Linked DNA regions of Ovis aries. The protein of the gene in region 2 interacts with the protein of the main gene of each other region in a pairwise test. Links are inferred from orthologs where the notes say so. Each region holds a gene or a part of one and is shown on either strand. Other genes may lie near its edges. The genes, in order: GOLGA2, RAB2B, GARIN6 and FAM114A1.

Evidence for each region.
Region 1: the proteins of RAB2B (region 2) and GOLGA2 interact in binary tests that used the Homo sapiens proteins (3 or more experiments, as listed by UniProt). The two-hybrid records come from large-scale screens. The link is inferred for Ovis aries from reciprocal best matches to the Homo sapiens genes RAB2B and GOLGA2.
Region 3: the proteins of RAB2B (region 2) and GARIN6 interact in binary tests that used the Homo sapiens proteins (3 or more experiments, as listed by UniProt). The two-hybrid records come from large-scale screens. The link is inferred for Ovis aries from reciprocal best matches to the Homo sapiens genes RAB2B and GARIN6.
Region 4: the proteins of RAB2B (region 2) and FAM114A1 interact in binary tests that used the Homo sapiens proteins (3 or more experiments, as listed by UniProt). The two-hybrid records come from large-scale screens. The link is inferred for Ovis aries from reciprocal best matches to the Homo sapiens genes RAB2B and FAM114A1.

The regions. Positions count from the first base shown.
Region 1 is NC_056056.1:8,017,691-8,022,944, reverse strand, and holds part of GOLGA2 (golgin subfamily A member 2), read right to left. Parts: intron 4,785-5,254; coding exon 4,668-4,784; intron 4,401-4,667; coding exon 4,357-4,400; intron 4,255-4,356; coding exon 4,191-4,254; intron 3,798-4,190; coding exon 3,738-3,797; intron 3,552-3,737; coding exon 3,471-3,551; intron 2,682-3,470; coding exon 2,643-2,681; intron 2,146-2,642; coding exon 2,083-2,145; intron 1,995-2,082; coding exon 1,901-1,994; intron 1,811-1,900; coding exon 1,704-1,810; intron 635-1,703; coding exon 576-634; intron 294-575; coding exon 152-293; intron 1-151. UniProt on the Homo sapiens protein: Peripheral membrane component of the cis-Golgi stack that acts as a membrane skeleton that maintains the structure of the Golgi apparatus, and as a vesicle thether that facilitates vesicle fusion to the Golgi membrane.
Region 2 is NC_056060.1:24,038,804-24,044,753, reverse strand, and holds the start of RAB2B (ras-related protein Rab-2B), read right to left. Parts: upstream 3,456-5,950; 5' UTR 3,407-3,455; coding exon 3,361-3,406; intron 3,141-3,360; coding exon 3,069-3,140; intron 655-3,068; coding exon 587-654; intron 1-586. Other genes in the region: TOX4 (TOX high mobility group box family member 4), read left to right, coding at 3,815-3,820, 4,019-4,087. UniProt on the Homo sapiens protein: The small GTPases Rab are key regulators of intracellular membrane trafficking, from the formation of transport vesicles to their fusion with membranes. Rabs cycle between active GTP-bound and inactive GDP-bound states.
Region 3 is NC_056056.1:169,270,567-169,276,276, reverse strand, and holds the start of GARIN6 (Golgi-associated RAB2 interactor protein 6), read right to left. Parts: upstream 3,996-5,710; coding exon 3,947-3,995; intron 1-3,946.
Region 4 is NC_056059.1:58,873,271-58,877,460, reverse strand, and holds part of FAM114A1 (protein NOXP20), read right to left. Parts: intron 2,984-4,190; coding exon 2,732-2,983; 3' UTR 792-2,731; coding exon of another isoform or gene 690-791; 3' UTR 1-689. UniProt on the Homo sapiens protein: May play a role in neuronal cell development.

The DNA.
Region 1 (5,254 bases), on a different chromosome or scaffold from region 2:
CCTAGTTTTTCTCTTGTCTCTAGAGAAGTCTATGGCAGAACCAGAACAAGGATCCAAACTTTCTGGTTCCTGGTCGGAGGGCACCACAGTGACCCTGAGAGGACCTGGCCCTGCCAGGTGGGGCCTGCACACCCCAGGGCTTCAGCCCTACCTGCTGCAGCAGCAGCTCCGACATCTCCAGCTTCTTCTGCAGATCCTCCATGCCCAGCTGCATGGCTGACTTCTCTATCGCCAGGAGCCGCAGCTTCTCCTCCAGCTCTGAGTTTTGCTGCTTCAGGTCCTCGTTGTTCTTACTGCGGCCAGAGGGAGGTGTGAGTGCTGAACAGAGAGGAACGCTCCCATGATCCACCCACTACTCCTGCCATAAAAGTCACTTTGGAAGGGACCCCAGCACCAGGAGTCTCAAGAGGCAGCCCAGAGAGAAGACACAAGCTGCCTGAGGCCACAGCAGGGGTTTAGGGGCACGGCTGGCTGACAGCCTGGCTCTGCACACGTCCAAACATGTACCCTCTTTCTCACCCGACTCCCTTGGATCTCCCCCACTTCCCAGTCCCCCCCATCACCCCCCATCCTACTTGTTCTTGTATAATTCCAGCTTGAGGGCATCTCGCTCTCTGGTTAATTCTTTGTTGTACTGCGAACACAGAAAGGCGAGGTCAGGAGAAGGCAGGCGGAAAATGCAGCCCAGCAACAGCAACAGAACGGCTCCCAGCAACACGTCCTCACCTGGTGTGAGGCCTTTACGTTTTTTCAAAGCTCATCCAAGCTCATGCTCTCCTTTGGTTTTAGTAAGGACTCGGGAAGGTTGGAAGAGGAAGGTGGGGCGGTCTGACTCTGGGCCGGCCACCGTTTTCACTGTTAGCAGCATCACCTCTGAACCTTTTCTGAACACTTTCTTAGCCAACATTCCCAACTCACAATCACCGTGGAGGCAGCTGCTATCTCCATTTTATCAGTGAATGAGGAATATTAGAGATTAAGGAGCTCGCCTAAAATCACTTAGACCTGGGATTCTTCAACCTTGTTTTTGGCCCTGGGGTTAGGGCATGACCACGAGGGATAGATTAAAATGCATTGTAATCTTTTGTTCATTTTTTGAATGGATGGGACATTCACAGCCCCAAACTTAGAAGGTACAAAAGCGACAGGTCTCTAAGCCACCCTATTCCTCTCCCTTGGGCTTTTTAAAAATATTTATTTGGCTGCACTGGGTCTTAGTTGCAGCATGTGGGATCTAGTTCCCCCCTGCACTGGGAGCACACAGTCTCAGCCTCTGGACCACCAGGGAAGTCCCTTCCTTGGGTTTTACATGAGTCCTTTCCGACATGTCATATATATTACACACATGTACTCCTCCCTTTTTAGTGTGGTCATGGACTAAAAATACTGATCTGAACCTTCACAGCCTGAACACCCAGCACCTGAGCCAGAACCCATGCAGTTAAAGGCAGGGCTGGCTGACACTCAGGGTCTGGGCTCATCTAGTGCTCACTCTAGGTGGCACTCCCCAGCCCCTCCCCACAACTCGACCATGGCAACCAACTCGTGTCCAGATCGCATTTCACAACCACACAACTCTAACGCAGCAAGAAACGGACAGTGCTGCCGTCTGGGCAGCCAGTCATTCCATCCTGCCGGAGAGACCTTTAGGCTCACAACCCATCCACGTGACCTCCAGGGGATGGGCAGGCTGCTGGGCTCACCCTGTCGGCCTGCTTCTGCTGCGTGGAGACGGCAGACAGCGTCCGCTCCAGCTCTCCCACGCGCTGCCTGGAAGACTGCAGGCGGTTAGCAAGATCCTCTGACTCCCCTGAAATGACAGCAGAGAGGGGAAGTCCAGAGAAGGAATCCCACCAAAGGCCTAGCCAGCCCAAGGGTAAAAGGGTGCCTAGATTCCCACCTGCTTTCTGCCTGGCTGCCTGCTGGGTGTGAGCCAGAGCTGTCTGTAACTCCGTCTTCTCTGACACCAGAATCCCGATAGTCTGAATGTGGACCTTTAGGAGAAAGGCCAAACGAGTGCTGACAATGTGGAAAAGCAATGTTTCCTGGGGGCCACAAGGGACCCTGGAAGAGTCTGCTCACCTGCAGCTGCTCTCGCAGAGCCCCTTGTTCCTTTGCGAGCTTCTGCTCAAATTCCTTCTTTTCCTGCAGAAAGAGAGAAGAAACAACTCTTACTGGGAGGACGCAAAAGTGAAAGAGAAAAGGACATGTGCCCCGCCCAGGGATGCCACCACAGGCCCAGGACAGGCCCACCAATGAGAACAGATAATCGGCGCCCTGGGAGTGGAAGACCGGCGAGGAGGCAAAGGGGGAAGCCCCCTATTCCTCCAGGCTGTAAGCAGCCAAGAGGAGAATGGTCCTCTACATCTGAATCCTCCCCCAAACCCATCAGCCATGGGTTGTTTAGTCGCTAAGTTGTATCTGACTCTTTTGCAACCCCATGGACTGTAGCCCGAAAGGCTTCCTCTGTCCCTGGGATTTCCCAGACAAGAACAATGGAGTGGGTTGCCACCTCCTTCTCCAGGGGATCTTCCTGACCCAGGGATTGAATCCTCATCTCCTGCACTGGCAGGTGGATTCTTTACCACTGAGCCACCAGGGAAGCCCCATTAACCATGGAGGAAACAAAGAAATCACATTACTTTTTCCAGTTGATCCAAAGTTTCCTGGTTCTCTTGTTTCTGTGGGGAGAGGCAAAGGAAGGTGACTGAGGTTGTCCTCCTTCCCCACGATCCTCAGACCAAGGAGGAGGGGCCGCAGGCAGGGGCCAGGAAGGGGTTAGAAAGGGAGGGTTCACGGGGACACAAACGAATGAACGCTTCTCAAGCTAAGAGACTTTGAGCCTTGGCAGGTTTTGCTCATGGCTACAGCAGCAAGGGTCTGGATCTGATTCCCTTGAAGGGACAATGACATAAACCTCTAGAAATGGAGTCTGAGAAGGTGAAGACCACCCTCTGCCAGCTCACACTCAAGGAATGTTCACTGAGCAAACACATCACAGGCCAGGTTCTGTTCTTAACAACACTGATACATGAATGAAAAGGACCTTGAAACCTTTTTGGGGGCTTAAAAGGGACCTTGGACACCCTCTGATTCTACCTCCTCAGGAAACTAAAGGCCAAGGAGGAGAGGTGACTTGTCCAAGGTCGAAGTCGGAACAAATCAGGGGCTGGGTCAGGGCTGGAACACACCAGTCAAGCTAGTGCCTCCCCTACAGGCAACAGACCCATGGCAAGGTGGGGAGGACTCGAGCAGAGGTGTCTGGAGAACAGAATAGGCAAAGAGGGCAGCCACAGAGAGAGCCATGCTGCATGCCATGCTCCGGGGTCCCTCCAGCTGAGACCTAGGCCTCCCAGCACCCCCTTCTCCCTTGGCACCAGGGATCCCCAGCCCCTTTCTTCAAGAGCCCCAAGGTGAGACCGGAGCCCCATATTGGCAACATGGATCAGGGGACAACACCGGACTCTTACCAATTCCTCTATCTTGCTACTGAGTTGTTTGTTTTTTAGATTGCTGGAGTCCAGGGCTACTGATAGTTCTTGGTACCGGCTCTGAGGCGCATGCAGAGAGGAGGAGGAGGTGGAGGAGGGGTAGGGAGAGGTAGAGAGAGCAATCATTAGGGTCGGGGGGTGTCTGGGCTGTCTCAGCTGGGTGGGGCACCCAGCCCCCACCATGGGAGGAGGTGGGGGGCAGTGCTGGCCTGCAGGGTCACTGGGCCAAGGTGCAGGCCCACTTACCTCCAGATTCTTTATATTAGCAGGAGATGCTAGGCCCTCCCCATTGATGTAAGACGAAGACTAGGAGAGACGAAAGGGCTCACATGGAGATGTTCTCTGACCCCCTCCAGCATCTTGCTGGAGGTAACATTTCCTCTTCTGCCTAACTTGCCTCCTGCCCCTTAATCCCTCCCTGCGCCAGTTTCTCCTGGTTCTTAGCTCCCCCTTGTCCCTCCCCTCCCAAAGAGCTCTCATCTACAGGATCAAACGATGTAACCAATCTCATTGTCCAACCCCTTCATTTGCATGGCTTCAAAGAGGAGACTCAGAGAAGTAATGATCAGCTAAACATTATCCAGCCAAGCTGCCCGGTCCCAGGATCTTCCCTTCCTTTGGGGAGTCTCTGCCTCAGTTTCTTTCTATCATATTTTCCCTCCTACTCTAACCCATGCCGAGCTCCAGTTTTCGGGGTACCTCGGACACAAGACCGTTGAGCTGCTGAGACAGCTGTCGCAGACTCTCGGTGGATGAAAAGGATCTGGGGATGAACACAGCAGTCAGGGGTGCAGGAGGCTCGATGGGAAAGGGGGGGTCACGGGGCGGTGGCCTAGGGACTGGTGCCCCCGTGGGAGACACTCACGTGCTTTCGTCAATGGGACCAGAACGGTTGTCGGCATCATGGTTCTGTTTGGGAAGAAACACAGGAATTGGTCATTCAAGTTTTAGGAGGAACCACCTACAGGCACCAAGCTCATTCCGACCACTTTCCACCTCCCTGAAGCTTAAGGGGAGTCTGGTTTTGGGCTCCCCCATCCCAGTCCTCAGGAAGGGCACCTGGCTCACAGAGCCAAGATACCTGGAAAAAAAGGACGAGGGTCCACAGGAGGTCCAGTCCTCCGGGAAACAGGAGGGGGTGAACACAGAGCGGGCCAAGGGGGAAGAGGCACAAACCTGAGTTGATGCCATGCTAGTGACACGGGGGGGACTAGCACTGGGGGAAGGGACACCGCCAGGTGACACGGTGTCATCAGCAGATGGTGTAACAGGAGCGGCGCGGTCTTTGGGCGCCTGTCACAGAACAGAGCAGGGGGTTAGGGGGCCATGCAGGGCAAAGAGTGCCTCGCTGTCATGAGTGCAGGGGTGCAGAGCTGGCAGGACCGGTGTTGAGCAGTCGTGACAGTCACACGTGCTGGGAGCCACGCGGGGGTGTGGCTGCGGCTCGCCTAGAACTTGGGCCATTCTGCCGCCTTCTGGACCGAGGCTCAGGGCAAGGGCAGTGAGGCCTGCTTCCTGAACATGGAGTGTCATCCTCTGTGGAGCTCAGTCAGAGGCAGGGCCAGGCTGCCCTCTGGCAGCCGCAGCAGGTAAGAGGGAAGCGTGCCGGGGCAGGGAGAAGCAGGTGTTGCCTTTCCAGAGGGTCAGTCTGTGCCAGAGTGACCCTCCCCCGGGACCCTGCTGGGCAGAACGCGGCAGTGATAAAGGAAGAGAGCATCTGCCTCCTCCTTCTTGCTCTCCCTCCATCCCTCCTCCCAACCACT
Region 2 (5,950 bases):
TAAAAAGCAGAGATATTACTTTGCCAATAAAAGTCCATCTAGTCAGAGCTTTGGTTTTTCCAGTAGTCATGTATGGATGTGAGAGTTGGACTATAAAGAAAGCTAAGTGCTGAAGAATTAATACTTTTGAACTGTGGTGTTGGAGAAGACTCTTGAGAGTCCCTTGGATTGCAAGGAGATCCAACCAGTCCATCCTAAAGGAAATCAGTCCTGAATATTCATTGCAAGGACTGATGCTGAAGCTGAAGCTCCAATACTTTTGTCACCTGATGCGAAGAACTAACTCACTGGAAAAGACCCTGATGCTGGGAAAAATGCAAGAGGAGAAGGGGATGACAGAGGATGAGATAGTTGGATGGCATTACTGACTCGATGGACATGAGTTTGAGCAGGTTCCAGTTATTGGTGATGGACAGGGAAGCCTGACATGCTGCAGTCCATGGCGTCGCAAAGAGTTGGACATGACTGAGTGACTGAACTGAACTGAACTCTGACCTCCATCCTTAGCTCCTCCGTCATAGCCCTTTATCCCTGCATCAGCCTTTACTGTTATATTTGGGACTAAAGTATTTTTGTTTTCTCTTACCGTATCCCAGATTTGCAGTTTGATTTGTTTTCCATCAATGTTGACCATACGGGCCCCAAACTCCACACCTGTCAGTGAAAACCGAAAGAATGTGATTCTCACGAACAACCATGGTGACAAGAGGTTCATGCTTGTCCTCATTGTGCTAACGACTCATCCTCCGCACTTGGTGCTACTAAGCCCATTACAGTTCCCTATTTGCTCCAATTAATTTTTTGCTCCTTAAAGTTTTATCTTCTAGAATTAAAAACTGTGTTCCAGGTGACAACCACCTCAGGAATATAACTGAAAAGCACATATGGGGATAAAAATTAATTAAGAAATCAAATAGAAAAAGTGAATGAATTTTTAGAATTATTGTTTAATGCTTAAATTTGATTAAGAAATGGTTAATTTGTAACTAAAAAACTTCTAAATTTTTTGAAAATATTTCTTAATATTTTCCCAAAGTCACTCTCTAGTCCTCTATATGAAACAATAAATACTTGCTTTTTGCAATTTTAGATTTTTTTTTTAGAAAAGCACCTATCTAAGAATAGGTTCTCAAGAATGAAACATTTCAGATCTCCAATAATTCCAAGAGTTCATCAGAAAAACAGCATGCCTCACAGGGGTTTGGAAACAGATAGTCCGAATAAAGGTTTTAGTTTACCTGCATTCAACTTCTATCAAGGTAATGTCAGGTCAAAACTTAAAAATCGAAGATCACTTACATTAAAAATACTTGATTGTAAGTCAAACAATTTGCCCTATTTTCTATCTTTACACAGTACTTTACTCCAGGAATTCTGATCTGCAGGTAAGAAACAGCACTAATCTAGCTTCTGCTATTCAGGGGCCCCAGGCACAATATATCCAGAATCTCTCTCAACTCTATAAAGTTTTACAGTCAATAAGCAGATTTAAAAAATTGTTTCTTACTACTCTAGACTGCATCATCAAGAATAATGATAGTTACTAAGAAAAAAAAAGTCACTAATTTTGTTTTCTTCCTGGACAAGAGGAATGGAGTTTCAATGGTGAAGAATTAAAAAATACAACTTCTGTCCCCTTTTATGCAACTTCCTCTAATTATGAAAAAATCTTCATATTTTGTGCACATTTTATAGCCAACTGCCTTGTTTATCCTGGTATAGAAGACTGAATTCAGAAAGAAACAGGGCATATGTTGGACTCTGGGAAAACTTGATCACTTCATTTTGCTACTTTGAAACCTGTCACTTGCTCATTACCTTTAGGTGTGTCAAAACTCATCTCTCCCCTTCCCCACCCCAGATGTTCTCTACTCTTACTTCTTGTCACTCTTCTCTTTAAATTCCATGGTCAAGCCATATTAAATTACTTTCAGTTTTCCAGATTAGCCTGAACTTTGTTATTCCTGAGCCTTTGCACCTGTTTTTCCCTCTTGGCCTGATCACTTTTCTCTCACCTTCCACAACCCCTTCGCTTGGCTAGTTCCTTCTCATGCTTCCATTTTCAGCTTTTCCTGATAGATGTGGCAGCCTCTTATCCCCTTTTGCAATAGTAATTTATTCATTGGTATCTGCCCCCAGCCTCACCTCACCTCCTACACTGGAGCTTTCAATGTAGGCATGTTTGCCTTGTTAAGCACTGTATCACTTAGCACCTAGCACATTGTGGTTGTACACAATAGTCATTTACAAAAGTATTTTCCTGTTGATACTAAATCCTTTTCTAACCACATTAGTTATTTGGCTCTGAATAAGTACTGTGGGATCAGTAGTAGCTTCAGATTTCCATAATGTGGGACTTGGAAGTGGCAATATAGTAAGAATGGGAGCTAGGGATTTTACTCTGAAACTGCACCTGCATGGCAAGAAGGCTAGTTTTATGTATATAATCTTTATTTGGGTTGGGGTTATGGAGATTATGGGGAATGGGTTGTTAAAACTCAGCAGGTCGTCCCATATCACAAATTTGTGGAAGATGTTCACATTTCCCACGCTTACCAGAGAGTTCTTGAAACTCATGATTATCATATCTTTTCTTTAAAACAAAACTTACCAGTTTCATGTACCTTTTATTCTAGGTCTGGGATGGCTCTTCCATTTGCTTCCTCCTCTCCAACACACACACAAAATCTATACTGTAGTGATTACTTTGAAAAAGTAATGAGGTTCACACTACTTTACCGCAGAGTAAGGCGAGTTTTTGAATTAACAGTACGTTTTCATAGGATTTTACATAAACATACAAACTACATTTGTTAAAAAAAAAAAAAAAATCCTGAGGCAACTAATCCATACCTCATGGTCATCTCTAAATCTAGTCACCCTTCAATTACCTACTCCCCATTACACTACTGCCCATTTCTCAGCATTTAGTCATTCTTCACTTAACATAACTTTGGACTAACCCCAAAATAGGAAGACGTAACTTTTCTACTTCGAACACTAAAGCTGCTAACTTTCTATTTTAGTCAGATTTCATAATCTATTCTACGAGAGGTATATGCGCTTACCTATTGTGAGGTCGTGGACAGGTTGGAATCGCTTGTCTGTAAACTGCAGGAGGAGACATGACTTCCCCACACCTGAAAGAAGACGCGTGCGTTAGGAGTTAGGCAGCGAGAACAGACCAGTGTCGGGGCGTCCAGGACTGGGGAAGGGGAGCCCCGAGCCCCGCCCCCGGCGGCCCGCCCCGCCCCCCGCTTCACTTAATCGCCCAGCCCACTAAATGAGCCCCGCCCCCAAGCCCCGACTTGGGTGTTTCGGATCCCCGCCCCAGCTTGAGGATTGTCGCCCGCGGGTTACCTGTGTCTCCGATGATGATGTACTTGAAGAGATAAGCATAAGTCATGGTCCCTTTTCCTCTGGATTCCGGGTCCGCCCGACTTCTACAGCCACTTACCTCCGGCCTCTCTAGCCGCTCAATCTATCGACCTCCGGCCCCTCTAGCCCAGTTAACGTCTCTATTGCTCTCCCTCGAAATCCCGTTTCGGTCGGAGCGACGGTAATACCCAGATACCACCTCCGAGGACGCCTCCAACACTCCTACATGCCATTATCCCACCAAGCTCCAGGAGGCGATAGCTAGCCTGTCAGTCCGCTCGGCCTTCCCGGGCCTGACTCGCAGCAGCCCCAAGGCGCTCCTTCCAATCAGCGGAGAGCGACGCACGACGTTGGGGAAGTGACGGCAGTTCCGTGTCCTGTGTGGGGGCGGTGGGAGTGATGAGTTCACTGAGACCGTGATAGCCGTTGTGTGAAGATGGAGGTAGGCTCCTGAGCGTTGAGAAGCCTGGCGAGAGAGCGCGGCTGACGGGGTTGAAGCAGAAGCGGGAAGCGGCAGATGGGAGGGGAGAGAGAGCGGGGTTTGGGAGGTGTTGTCATAATGTCTGGGTCAGAAAACGTCGCTCCGATCTAACTCTCTGCTTCCCCTAACTTATCCCCGCGGCTTTCTTTTGGTTTCCAGTTTCCCGGAGGAAATGACAATTACCTGACGATCACAGGGCCCTCGCACCCCTTCCTGTCAGGGGCCGAGGTGAGCATGAGTTGCCGACGCTGCGCGGAGAGGGTGGGAGGCAGCGGTGGGGTAGGATGATGGGGAGGAGAGCGCGGACGCCAGGGCCCGGGTTGGGAACCGGAGGCTGAGATCGATATCTGGAGAAAAGTGGCAGCTGCCTTCAGAGCCTATGAGGACTACGCGGAAGGCCAGGAAAGCTGCTGTCATCAGAAAAGCAGGACTCTGGAAAAAGCGAACCTATTTTAGAGCGATTCTGTATTGGAGTATAGAATGAAATTGTCTCCTTTCGTGGAGGAGAAACAAGTACAATAATGGGAGATCGCAGGAGGGAGAGAATGTTTCAGCCAAAGAAATTTGGGAAGGGGCAGGAGTTTACCTAACACGTCAACTGTGGAATGTGTTCATTCTTAAACCGTACTCTATTGAAGGGGTATGTGTTTCGTTGAAACTTCCTACCTAGCAATTTTTTGAAAAGTTAATGGTTATGTTTACTTACAGAGTGTTAGCTTGTTGTGCTAGTGAGAGAATGAAAGGGAATATTTGCGAGAAAACATGGAGTTGAGTAGAGCACGCGTTTCTGTTTGCCAGTGCCTCAGAGTTTGGGTAGGTTCCTTCACCCTTATGTGTCAGTTTCCCTAGCTGTCAAAGGATTGTAATAATAGTTTATTACGATGTTGTGAAGTGGAAGTAATGATCATGGTGATGTCCTTTAGTGTTCTTGGAAAAGGTTTAATTGAAATGTTGTCATAAATATGTATGATTTGTTTAGACAAGGCAAAAGAAAAGGGTGGAACAAAAATAAATTCAGTCTTTGAGAAACGGAAATTTTGAACTTTCTGTCTTTTGAGAATTTTTAATTGTTTTCAAACTTGGCATAAACCATTTGATCACTTTTTTTGTATCAAGAATTCTCAATTGCTGTTGAATGAACTTATCCATAGGGTGGCAAAGAGTTGGACACGACTGAAGCGACTTGGCATGCATTCATGAACTTATCCTGTAACAAACCTTAATAGAGTTTCTTGCAAGGAAAAGAAATGTCCACAAAAATAACTTATCATAAAAAAGTTGAAAAAATTCGACTTCTTTGAAATATAAAGTGTTTTGGGTTTGTGTGGTTTTTTTTTGTTTTTTTTTTTTTGGCCATGCTGTGCAGCTCTCTAGGTTGTAGTTCCCCAACCAGGGACTGAGCCCAGGCCCAAACAGTTGAGAGTGCCAAGTCCTGACCACTAGAGCAACAGGGAATTTCCAAAATTTAAGAACTTTTCATCAGTAGACATCATTAAGAAATTAAATAGGCACTTCACAGACTGGGAGAAGATATTTTATTACATATATCTGGCTTAGATTCAGAGTATATTCAGGTACTTCTGCAGAGTGAAATAATCCACTTTTTAAATGGACAAAAGATTTAAACTTGCATATCAGAAGAGAGGGTATCCAAATTGTCACTAGGCATATGAAAAAGTATCATCATTACTTATCAGGGAAATGCCAATTAACAATGAGGTACCATTTTATACCCATCATAATGGTGAAAATTTAAAAAACTGATCATTCCAGGAGTTAATAAGCATGTAGATAACTCTTAATCATTGCTGGTGAGACTGTAAATCGATTCAGCCTCTTTGGAAAACTAGTAGTATCTACGACACATGAAATATAGTTATCCTGTGACCTGGTAATTCCACTCCTTGATGTATACATAAGAGAAATGAATGCATATACTAAACAAAAACATGTATGTCCACAGAAACTTGATTTATATAGCTAAACAGTGGAAACAAATGTCTATAAACTGATAGGTTTGTTAAAGGGAATACTACACAGCAATAAAAAATAATGAACTACTAATGCAACCTGAGTGATCTCAAAAATATA
Region 3 (5,710 bases), on a different chromosome or scaffold from region 2:
TCTGCCATATACAGTGGGGTGTTTCTCCAGGACCTTGCTTCAGACATGCAAGATTCCCCTATCCATTAGACTATTATGTTTCTGTTGCTGACTCTCAGCTCCTTTCTTCCATCTTGAAGCTGGGCAGGTACAGGCCTTCTAATTCTGCATGGTTCATCCCAATCACAAACATACAGTTTTTATATATACTCAAAATTGGAATCTTTTGATGAATACATAGTATACTTTTTCCACTTGATATTATGTCTTGAACATACTCTTATGTGAATAAACATTTTAATGTGATCAAATATTTTAGTCTGGCATTTCACATGATGTATTTTACATAGAAGTTAAATAAGCAGGGTGACAATATACAGCCTTGATGTACTCCTTTACCAATTTTGAACCAGTCTCTTCCGTGTCTGATTCTGGCTGTTGCTTCTTGACCTGTTTCTCAGGAGATGGGTAAGGTGGTCTAGTATTCCCACTGCTTTAAGAATTTTCCACAGTTTATTGTGACCCACATAGTCAATGGTTATAGCATAGTCAGTGAAGTAGAAGTAGATGTTTTTCTGACATTCTCTTGCTTTCTCTATGATCCAACATATATTGGCAATTTGATTCCTCTGCCTTTTCTTTGCATAATATTTAATTTTAAAAATATACTAGAGTGATTTTTAAAAAATCATCCTCTATTGAGATTATTTTCACTCTTTTCCTGACTCTACCCAGTCATTTAGATTGTTGATAGTAGTTTACTGTTAGTAATTATGTTCTGATGAACACATTTATGCATAAATCCTCTATCTTTGATTTTATTTCCTTGGAAAAATTGAATCACTGAACAGAGGTAAGTATCTTTTTAAGACGTTTATAGTTCAGTTCAGACACTCAGTCACGTCCAACTCTTTGTGACCCCATGGACTGCAGTATGCCAGGCTTACCAGTCCATCACCAACTACCAGACCTTACTCAAACTCATGTCTATCGAGTCAGTGATACCATCCAACCATCTCATACTCTGTCATCCCCTTTTCCTCCCACCTTCAATCGTTCCCAGCATCAGGGCCTTTTCCAATGAATCAGCTCTTCACATCGGGTGACCAAAGTATTGGAGCTTCAGCATCAGTCTTGAATATTCAGGACTGATTTCTTTTAGGATTGACTGGTTGGATCTCCTTGCAGTCCAAGGGACTCTGCAGAGTCTTCTCCAATACCATAGTTCAAAGCATCAATTCTTTGGCTCTCAGCTTTCTTTATGATCCAACTCTCACATTTATACATGACTACTGGAAAAACCATAATTTGACTATACAAACCTCTGTTGATATATATATTGACTTTTATATATATTGCCAAATTGCATTACAGAAAGGTAAATTATAGTTTATTAAGGGAAAAGTTACATAATTTCATTAGTTTTTTTTAACTCAATGACATTTTAATGAAGATACTATGTAATATAGGCTTGGATTGTTTTAATTTCTTCCTTCCTCCACAACACTTTCCAGCAGCATTTCAACTTCTCCTATCTCTTGAGATAAACCATTTTATTAAAATTATCTTTTACTATTCAAAACATTATTTTAAGATTTTTCCTTATTTTTAAAATTAATTTTTATTGGGTTTTCATTTGATTTTGAAACTAGCAATAGATGTGACCTCTAGGATTGACTAGTTTGATCTCCTTGCAGTCCAAGGGACTCTCAAGAGTCTTCTCCAGCACCATAATTCAAAAGCATCAATTCTTTGGCACTCAGCCTTCTTTATGGTACAACTCTCACATTCATACATGGCCACTGGAAAAACCATAGCTTTGACAATATGGACTTTTGTCAGCAAAATGATGTCTGCTTTTTAATACACTGTCTAGGTTTGTTGTCAGAGCTTTTCTTCCAAGGAGCAAGTGTCATTTAATTTCATGGCTGCAGTCACTGTCCTCAGTGATTTTGGAGCCCAAGAAAATAAAATCTGTCACTGCTTCCACTTTTTCCTCTTCTATTTGCCTTGGAATAATCTTAGTTTTCTGAATGTTGAATATCAAGCCAGCTTTTTCATTCTTTTCTTTCACCCTCATCAAGAAGCTCTTTAGTTCCTCTTCACTTTCTGCCATTACAGAGGTGTCATCTGCATTATCTGAAGTTGATATTTCTCCCAGGAATCTTGATTCTAGCTTGTGAGTCATCCAGCCTGGCATTTTGCATGATGTTCTCTGCATAGAAGTTAAATAAGCAGGGTGACAATATACAACCTTGACATAATCCTTTCCCAGTTTGGAATCAGTCCTTCATTCCTTGCCCAATTCTGACGGTTGTTTCTTGACCTGCACACATGTTTCTCAGAGACAGGTAAGATGGTCTGGTATTCCTATCTCTAAGAATTTTCCACAGTTTGTTGTAATCCACACAGTCTAAGGCTTTAGTCTAGTCAATGAAGTGGAAATTTTTCTTGAATTCTCGTGCCTTTTCTGTGATCCAACAGATGTTGCAAATTGATCCCTGGTTCCTCTGCCGTTTTCTAAATCCAGCTTGTACATCTGGAAGTCCTTGATTCATATACTGCTGAAGCCTAGCTTGAAGGATTTTGACCATTACTTTGCTAGCATGTGAAATGAGTGCAATTATCTGGTAGTTTGAACAGTCTTTGGCATTGTCCTTGTTTGGGATTGAAATGAAAACTCACTTTTTCCAGTCCTGTGACCACTACTAAGTTTTCCAAATTTGCTGACATATTGAGTGCAGCGCTTTAACTGTTTATCATGTTTTAGGATTTTAAATGGCTCAGCTGGAATTCTGTCTATTCCACTAGCTTTGTTTGTGGTAATGCTTCCTAAAGCCTGCTTGACCTCACACTCCTGGATATGAAGGTGGCTCTAGGTAAGTGACCACACCATCATGGTTATCCTGGGTCATTAAGACCTTTTTTTGTATAGTTCTTCTTCATTGTATTCTTGTCACCTTTTCTTAACCTCTTCTGCTTCTATTAGGTCCTTGCAATTTCTGTCCTTTATTGTGCCCATCTTTGCATGAAATGTTTCCTTTTTATCTCCAATATTTTTGAAGACGTCCCTAGTCTTTCCCATTCTATTGTTTTCCTCTATTACTTTGCATTGTTCAGTTAAGGCTTTCTTATCTCTTCTTGCGATTCTCTGGAACTCTGCATTCAGTTGAGTATATCTTTACATTTCTCCTTTGCCTTTTGCTTCTCTTGACTTTTCTCAACTATTTGTAAGTCCTCCTCAGACAACCACTTTGCCTTATTGCATTTCTTTCTCTTTAGGATGGTTTTGGTCACTGCTTCCTGTGTTACAATGTTATAAAACTCTGTCCATTATTCTTCAGGCATTCTGTCTACCAGATCTAATACCTTGAATCTATTTGTCACCTCCTCTATATTCATAAGGGGTTTAATTTAGGTCATGCTTGAATGGTCTAGAGGTTTTCCCTGCTTTCTTCAATTTAAGCCTGAATTTTCCAATCAGGAGCTCATGATCTGAGCCATAGTCAGCTCCAGGTCTTGTTTTTGCTAACTGTATAGAGCATCTCCATTTGGCTGCAAAGAATATAATCAATGTGATTTTGGTGCTGACCATCTGGTGGTGTCCATGTGTAGAGTCTTTTCTTGTGTTTTTGGAAGAGAGTGTTTGCTAAGACCAGCGTGTTCTCTTGACAAAACTCTGTTAGCCTTTGCCCTGCTTCATATCAACAATTAATTGTATCAATAAGAAATGCATGTGTTATTAATATATTTTTGAGTGAAGAAGGATAGGTTTGGGAATCTTGAGACAGGTGAATGCCAGATAAGAGAATTTCAAAATTTCAAAATAGATGTTTAGAAACCCCTGTAGGATTTTGAGAGAGATAAAACTGTCTCTGGAGGCAGACATATCTTAACTCAAAGTAGTAACTTGGTGACTTTAAGCACTTAAGTTTACTGACTTAAATTTCAGCTGTGTTTCACTCACCTTTCAAGGGCTTAGGGGTACTGGAAATTTTTCTGGTTCTCTGTCTCATACTACTACCACTGGGATATTTGTGGGAGGCTATTTCAAGTCCTCTCTACTCAAATCGCTCTCTGAACCACTTTAAACTCACTACATGGGTGCTCAGTTTTGGACATTGCCTTCCTCCTCCTCCTCCTCCTTTCCTCCCTCCCTCCCCCCACTTCCTTCCTTCTTTCCTTTCTTCCTTCCATAGCTTCTATTTATTAACAGCAAGCTCCAATACTTTGGTCACCTGATGTGAAGAATCGACTTATTGGAAAAGACCCTGGTGCTGGGAAGATTGAAGGCAGGAGGAAGGGGATGACAGAGGATGAGAGGGTTGGATGGCATCACCAACTCAATGGACATGAGTCTGAGCAAGCTCCAGTAGTTGTTGATGGACAGAGAGGCCTGGCGTGGTGCTGTCCATGGGGTCGCAAAGAGTCAGACACGACTGAGTGACTGAGCTGAACTGATGATTTTGTAAAGCAGCCTCGAACCCAGGTCATTCTGATTCTCAAGAGCAGTGTGTTCTGAGGACAGCTTCCTGTAGCTCTCTCTTGAATTCCACTGGTGTGTACACCGTGATGATGATGTGGTACTGGCCTTCTGCAGGCATGTGATCTGGCCTTTCCCTCTCAAAAGGGAACAGACTGGGGTCACGTTTGATGGCATCCACATGAAGTTCCCTGGGATGCAAGTTGTAGCTCCTGCGGTGCTTCCTGCTGGGCCTCAAGCATGGGCCCGATGACCTCCCTCTCTGTCTCGTGCTCTCCCTGCTTATACAGGGACCACTTCTTCAGAAGCTGAGCTCTCATCTCGTTTCTTCAAAGAGCAGTTCCCTCTGAGACTGCTATTTCACTTTATCCAAGAGCTCACAGGGATAATAAAATCCTCAAAGGGAATTAGCTCCTGGCTAGGCTTTCTTCTTTTTCAAATGGTCTTTTACTGCTTGGTCTTTTTAAAGATTTAACTACTTCTTTCACAGAGGTTCTGCTCTCATGGGAACAAGTTCTGAGACGATCAACCATGAAGCTTTCTGATAAGTGTCTCTAGTCTATGTCTGCCAAATTCCCAAAGCATCCATGGCCTTTAGGTTGCTTCCAGGCATGCATTCATTTGCATTCAGGGCCCACACAGAGATTCTGACGTAGCAGTTCTTTAAGTTCTCGTTTGTACTAGGGAAAATGAGGAATACATTTCACTGACCTGAGATTTCCCTAATCTTATCTGATAGACAGTGATAAGATAAGGCAGGGAAATGGAAGGCACTGTAATTTAGGGAGGATGAAACATCCCTTAGTTTAATATTTCCAAAATATTGTCTCTGTTACATTATTATTAGATGTCGCATTTAAGAAGGTTTATCATGGCTCTGAACTCGAGGTGAGCTGAGCATGAAGAGCGCCTGGAAGCGGGTCATACACTACCTGCAGGTAGTAAGCAGGGCATGCTTACCTCCTGGCAGCCGTTTAATTAGAGTGTGATAGGCTTCCCCGTAGGAAAGTTCTAGAAAATCCAATATGGCTTTTAATTTCTCTGGGGAAAAAAAAACCCTCAAAATATAATTTTTACTGAGAGTTGGCTTCAAGTATTAACTTTATATATATTAAAGATTAAATTTTTTTCTCTTAACACAAATTTCTGGCAGCGCTCTATTAATCATCATAAACTTTCTCCCAGAGTTCAGAAATCTTTTTAGAAAGAAGGGAGCAAATAGATATTTTTCCTCTGTAGAATGTAAAT
Region 4 (4,190 bases), on a different chromosome or scaffold from region 2:
TTTAAAAAATACTTATTTACCTTGTTCGTCAAATTTTTTAAGGTTTAGAAAAGTTATTAGTATTGTAAAGCATTTTCAGAATGATTGTAAGTCCTCTTTCAGAATATCTGTTTCTACCAGGTGAGATCATGTTCTTCTACTGTGACCACACAGTAGGAGCTCAATATATGCTTGTTTGAAGAATGAATGACTATAAAGAGACACCTATATTCCCTTTCACTATAATAGGCAAAAATCTATAAGTAGTGTTATCTCTTCCCATGGCATTTATATAATAAAACTAAGTCCACTATAAGAACTGATTTAAAGTCATACTATAAGAATGGGAAAATTTAAAGTAGAAATTTAAAGTCTAGGGTCCACTCATAACTTGCCAAAGATAACATGCTTAACCAGGAAAATGGAAATGAATATTTGTAAGTGAACTCTAGATTAAAGGAAATTATCAATACAAAGCTGTGAAAGTTTAAATTAATATAAAAGAAACATAATTATTTGTAAAAACAACCATATACATTAAGAGAAATGATACTCTCTTTAAACTTGCATTTTCAATACTGTCTGTGCAAAATTGCTTGTAGTGTCTCCAAACAGACGTCTGTGGCTGGATGCATGGAAAACTTCCCATGAAATGCACATCAGAGCAACAGGGCCCACTGTTTCCTTTAACAAGATGAAGTCTGGCCAGGTCATGGCTGTGCTTTGGAACAACTGGTCTGGATGTGTGAAACCTGCAGGACAGGCAGCAGCAGCTGGAAGGCATCCTGTATGTATGTGGTGCTATTGCAGCCCTGTGAATGGAGAAAACTGTCATTGAAGGGTTACTGTCAGAGTTCCAGCTTGACAATTCTTCCCATTTGATAATGTTCTTCTCCTCAAACCCCACACTATTTTAGAACATTTTTCTTTTAATGCTGTTGCTTAAAGCAGATATAAACACATTTTGTTGGATGGCTTGCAACCAGCTCTCAATTATCTACACTAACAGAGAGAAGAATTCACTTGAGGCAAGCCATTTCCATAGACTTTTAGGGTATATTAGGGTATATTTCCTTTAGCTCAGATGGTAAAGAATCTGCTTGCAATGCAGCAGACCTGGGTTTGATCCCTGGTATCAGGAAGATCCCTGGAGAAGGAAATGGAAACCCACTCCAGTATTCTTGTCTGGAGAATCCCATGAACAGAGTCCATGGGGATACAAAGTGTTGGACATGACTGAGTGACTAACACTTAAACTCTAGGGTATATTATGTGTGTATAGTCAATACCCATTATGTCCAGTCTTACTTATCCTTTTTCCAGATCAATCTCACTGCCCTGAAATAACACAAAAGCACAGCATGAAAGAGGCTGTAGTTTGTCCTAACCTACAGATGAAGAAGGGCTTCCCTGGTAGCTCAGATGGTAAAGGATTTGCCTGCAATGCAGGAGACCTGAATTCCATCTCTGGGTTGGGATGATCCCTTGGAGAAGGAAATAGCAACCCACTCCAGTATTCTTGCCAGGAAGTTCCCATGGACGGAGTAGCCTGGTGGGCTATGGTCCATGGGGTGGCAAAGAGTCAGACACGACTGAGGGACTAACATGTACAGATGAATAAACAATAATGGGTTACTGGAGATATTGTGCAATTATTCACGGCAAATCCTTGAATGCTGTCATCTTCCTATTCATGTTGGTACTCTCCACTTGGTTTGGATCTTTGACATTGCTATTCATGTTCATGGGTGCTCTAACAGACAGTATTCCACGAGAGACCACTTAAAGTTCCAGGTAATTAAAACAGGAGAAAACTTCCACCAAAGGAATGAATAAATGATTTGACTTCATACTCTTCATGACCAACAGTAATTCATCTGCTAATGCCTTTTGGGTGGCCAAGGAAAATGTTCTCAGGTTCCATGTTCTGCCTCTGATTGCTTGGATTTCCTTTAGCTCTATCCTCCAGAATCTTCCCTGCATGTCAACTCCATCCCTCTGGGAGGCTGTGTCTTAAGCAATAACACTTAGGGTCACCACTGTTACTCCTGTACCTCGGTAGCTTTCCTTAAAGGTAAGACTCAATTCCTAAGTGCATTGCTATATATTTATATGTAGCCCTCCCTCACTTTTGTAATTTCCAAATTTTGCATTTGACAGGTACTTCAGAGAGCAAGAAACCACTGTATATACACTGCTTATATTCAAACTTAACTTGTCAACACCTTGCGGCTTCAGCTGGGTGCCGTGGGGCTACAGAAGTGCCAGTTCCTTATGGCTGATCCGTAATAGAAGAATTTCCCCCACTAGCCACAGATGGAACACAGCACCTACAGGTCAAGAATGAGGCGTCCTAGGTCCCTTTCCTTTTCTTTTCTTTTACATTGCTGCTTCTGGCAAAGCCACAGCTGTGTGGGGCAGCTACATGTCCGTGTTACAATGTCCTGGTGTGTGGGCTGGCCATGGAGTGAGTGGTCACAGAGGATCTTGCCTCTGGTTAGTGAATGGGCAGATGCTAAATATTTACCTGTCATTTGTTGCCAGTCTGGAACTTAGACCCGGCTAAACCCAAGGTTATTGTGAATGGAGGAAAGTGCCCACTTTAACAAAAATTCACCATTGAGCAAGAATTCCTCGTTGCAGCCAAAAATCACAGTGTTAAATCTGGTGTCAAACTTGGCAGCAGAAATGTGCTTCTGCCGGAGGAAACAGCGACAGAAATAATGTGCAAGCTTAGCATTTCTCTTTATAATCAGGATTCTTGAAAATTAGGTATTGTTGTTTCACTCGAGGGTTTACAGCTGGTTGAACTATACAAATGTACTAAAAAAAGACTGTAGACGATAAAATTTAGAATTGCAGAAATACTTGCTGTCTGAGAGAAAGACAAAATGTGTAGCTCTAACATTTGGTTTAATTCAGAAGCATTTTCTCTCTGGGGGCCACTTACCTCTAACAATACACTATTGATCATGGGGTTAAGGACCTCGGCCTTCTGGTTGCTCTGTGGAATCAAAAGTATGAAATTGACAGATTAGGTGCTCATACTCCAAGGCTTGTCAAAGTGTTAAGATGCTGGCTTTATGAGGGATCTCTTAGAGAAGAAGAGGAGAAGTGGAATGCTTACTATACATGAGGCTTCATACTTGGTGCTTCCCCTATACGATCTCATTTAATTTCCACAGAGATTTTAGGGGGTAGGCAGGGACCACGATAACTCTGATTCACAGATGAGAAAATATGAATCAGGAAGGTTGAGGAAGTTATTTAAGGTCATGTAGCTAGAAGTTTAAACTCAGACCTTTTAAACCATTCAAATCTTATATCAGGTTTGGGATTAGGGGGAGGTGAGTGAGATTGAGTTGGACAGAGTTAGCTTCAGTCTTTGCTTAAAATTTTTATATTTTGTTCATCATGACTTTTGGTATTCATTTTGATTTTTAAAATATTGCATCTATCTAGATGACTGAGGTTGTCTATTTGTCTCTTTTTGAGAGATGGTCCCCTTAAATTTGGTAGACAGGTTAAGTACCTTTACTTGCCTTTACTAGTCCCAGCCCTAGTCTGTCTATTTTTCTTTTAAATACAAGCACAGGTACTTGGTTTTAGGGTATGTCTTCTAGGTTGGCAGCAAAGTTAAAATACTCGACTATAACTTGCAAACAGGTTGGCAGATTCCAGTTTGCAAAACATGAATATATGTAAAGTGCAGAATACAGAGTCCAGTGTTAAGCAGGTGTTCAAAAAGTGTTAGTGTCCATGTAACCATTATTATGTCTGCTATTGGTCCATTAATCAACAGTCTTCTCTATCTAAAATGTTCAGTCTACTCTTAGACAATAAATAATTAAAGGGACTAGAAAGAGAGACGGCAGTCTTAATAGGCTGTTTTCTCTCACGGTACTCGAAAAATGTTATGGTAAACAAAAGGATATAAATGAAGTCTGTCTTCCCAGAGCAGCCCACTTTCATTGACATTACTCTATTGAGGGCTAAATAATGTCTTACTGGGGAAAGCATAATGGAGTCTTGGGAAAAAACTCTTTAAAAACCTAGTCATTTTAGTAAGTAACCAGAAAATCCATTATGGTTTGCTTTCATGTTTATTTGATTATCAATAAACCTCTAAAATATAATCAAAATGAGGGCAATAAAATGACATTGGCTTTCAGAATCAATGAGATGTGCAAGCAATTTAAATAGAGTCTGGA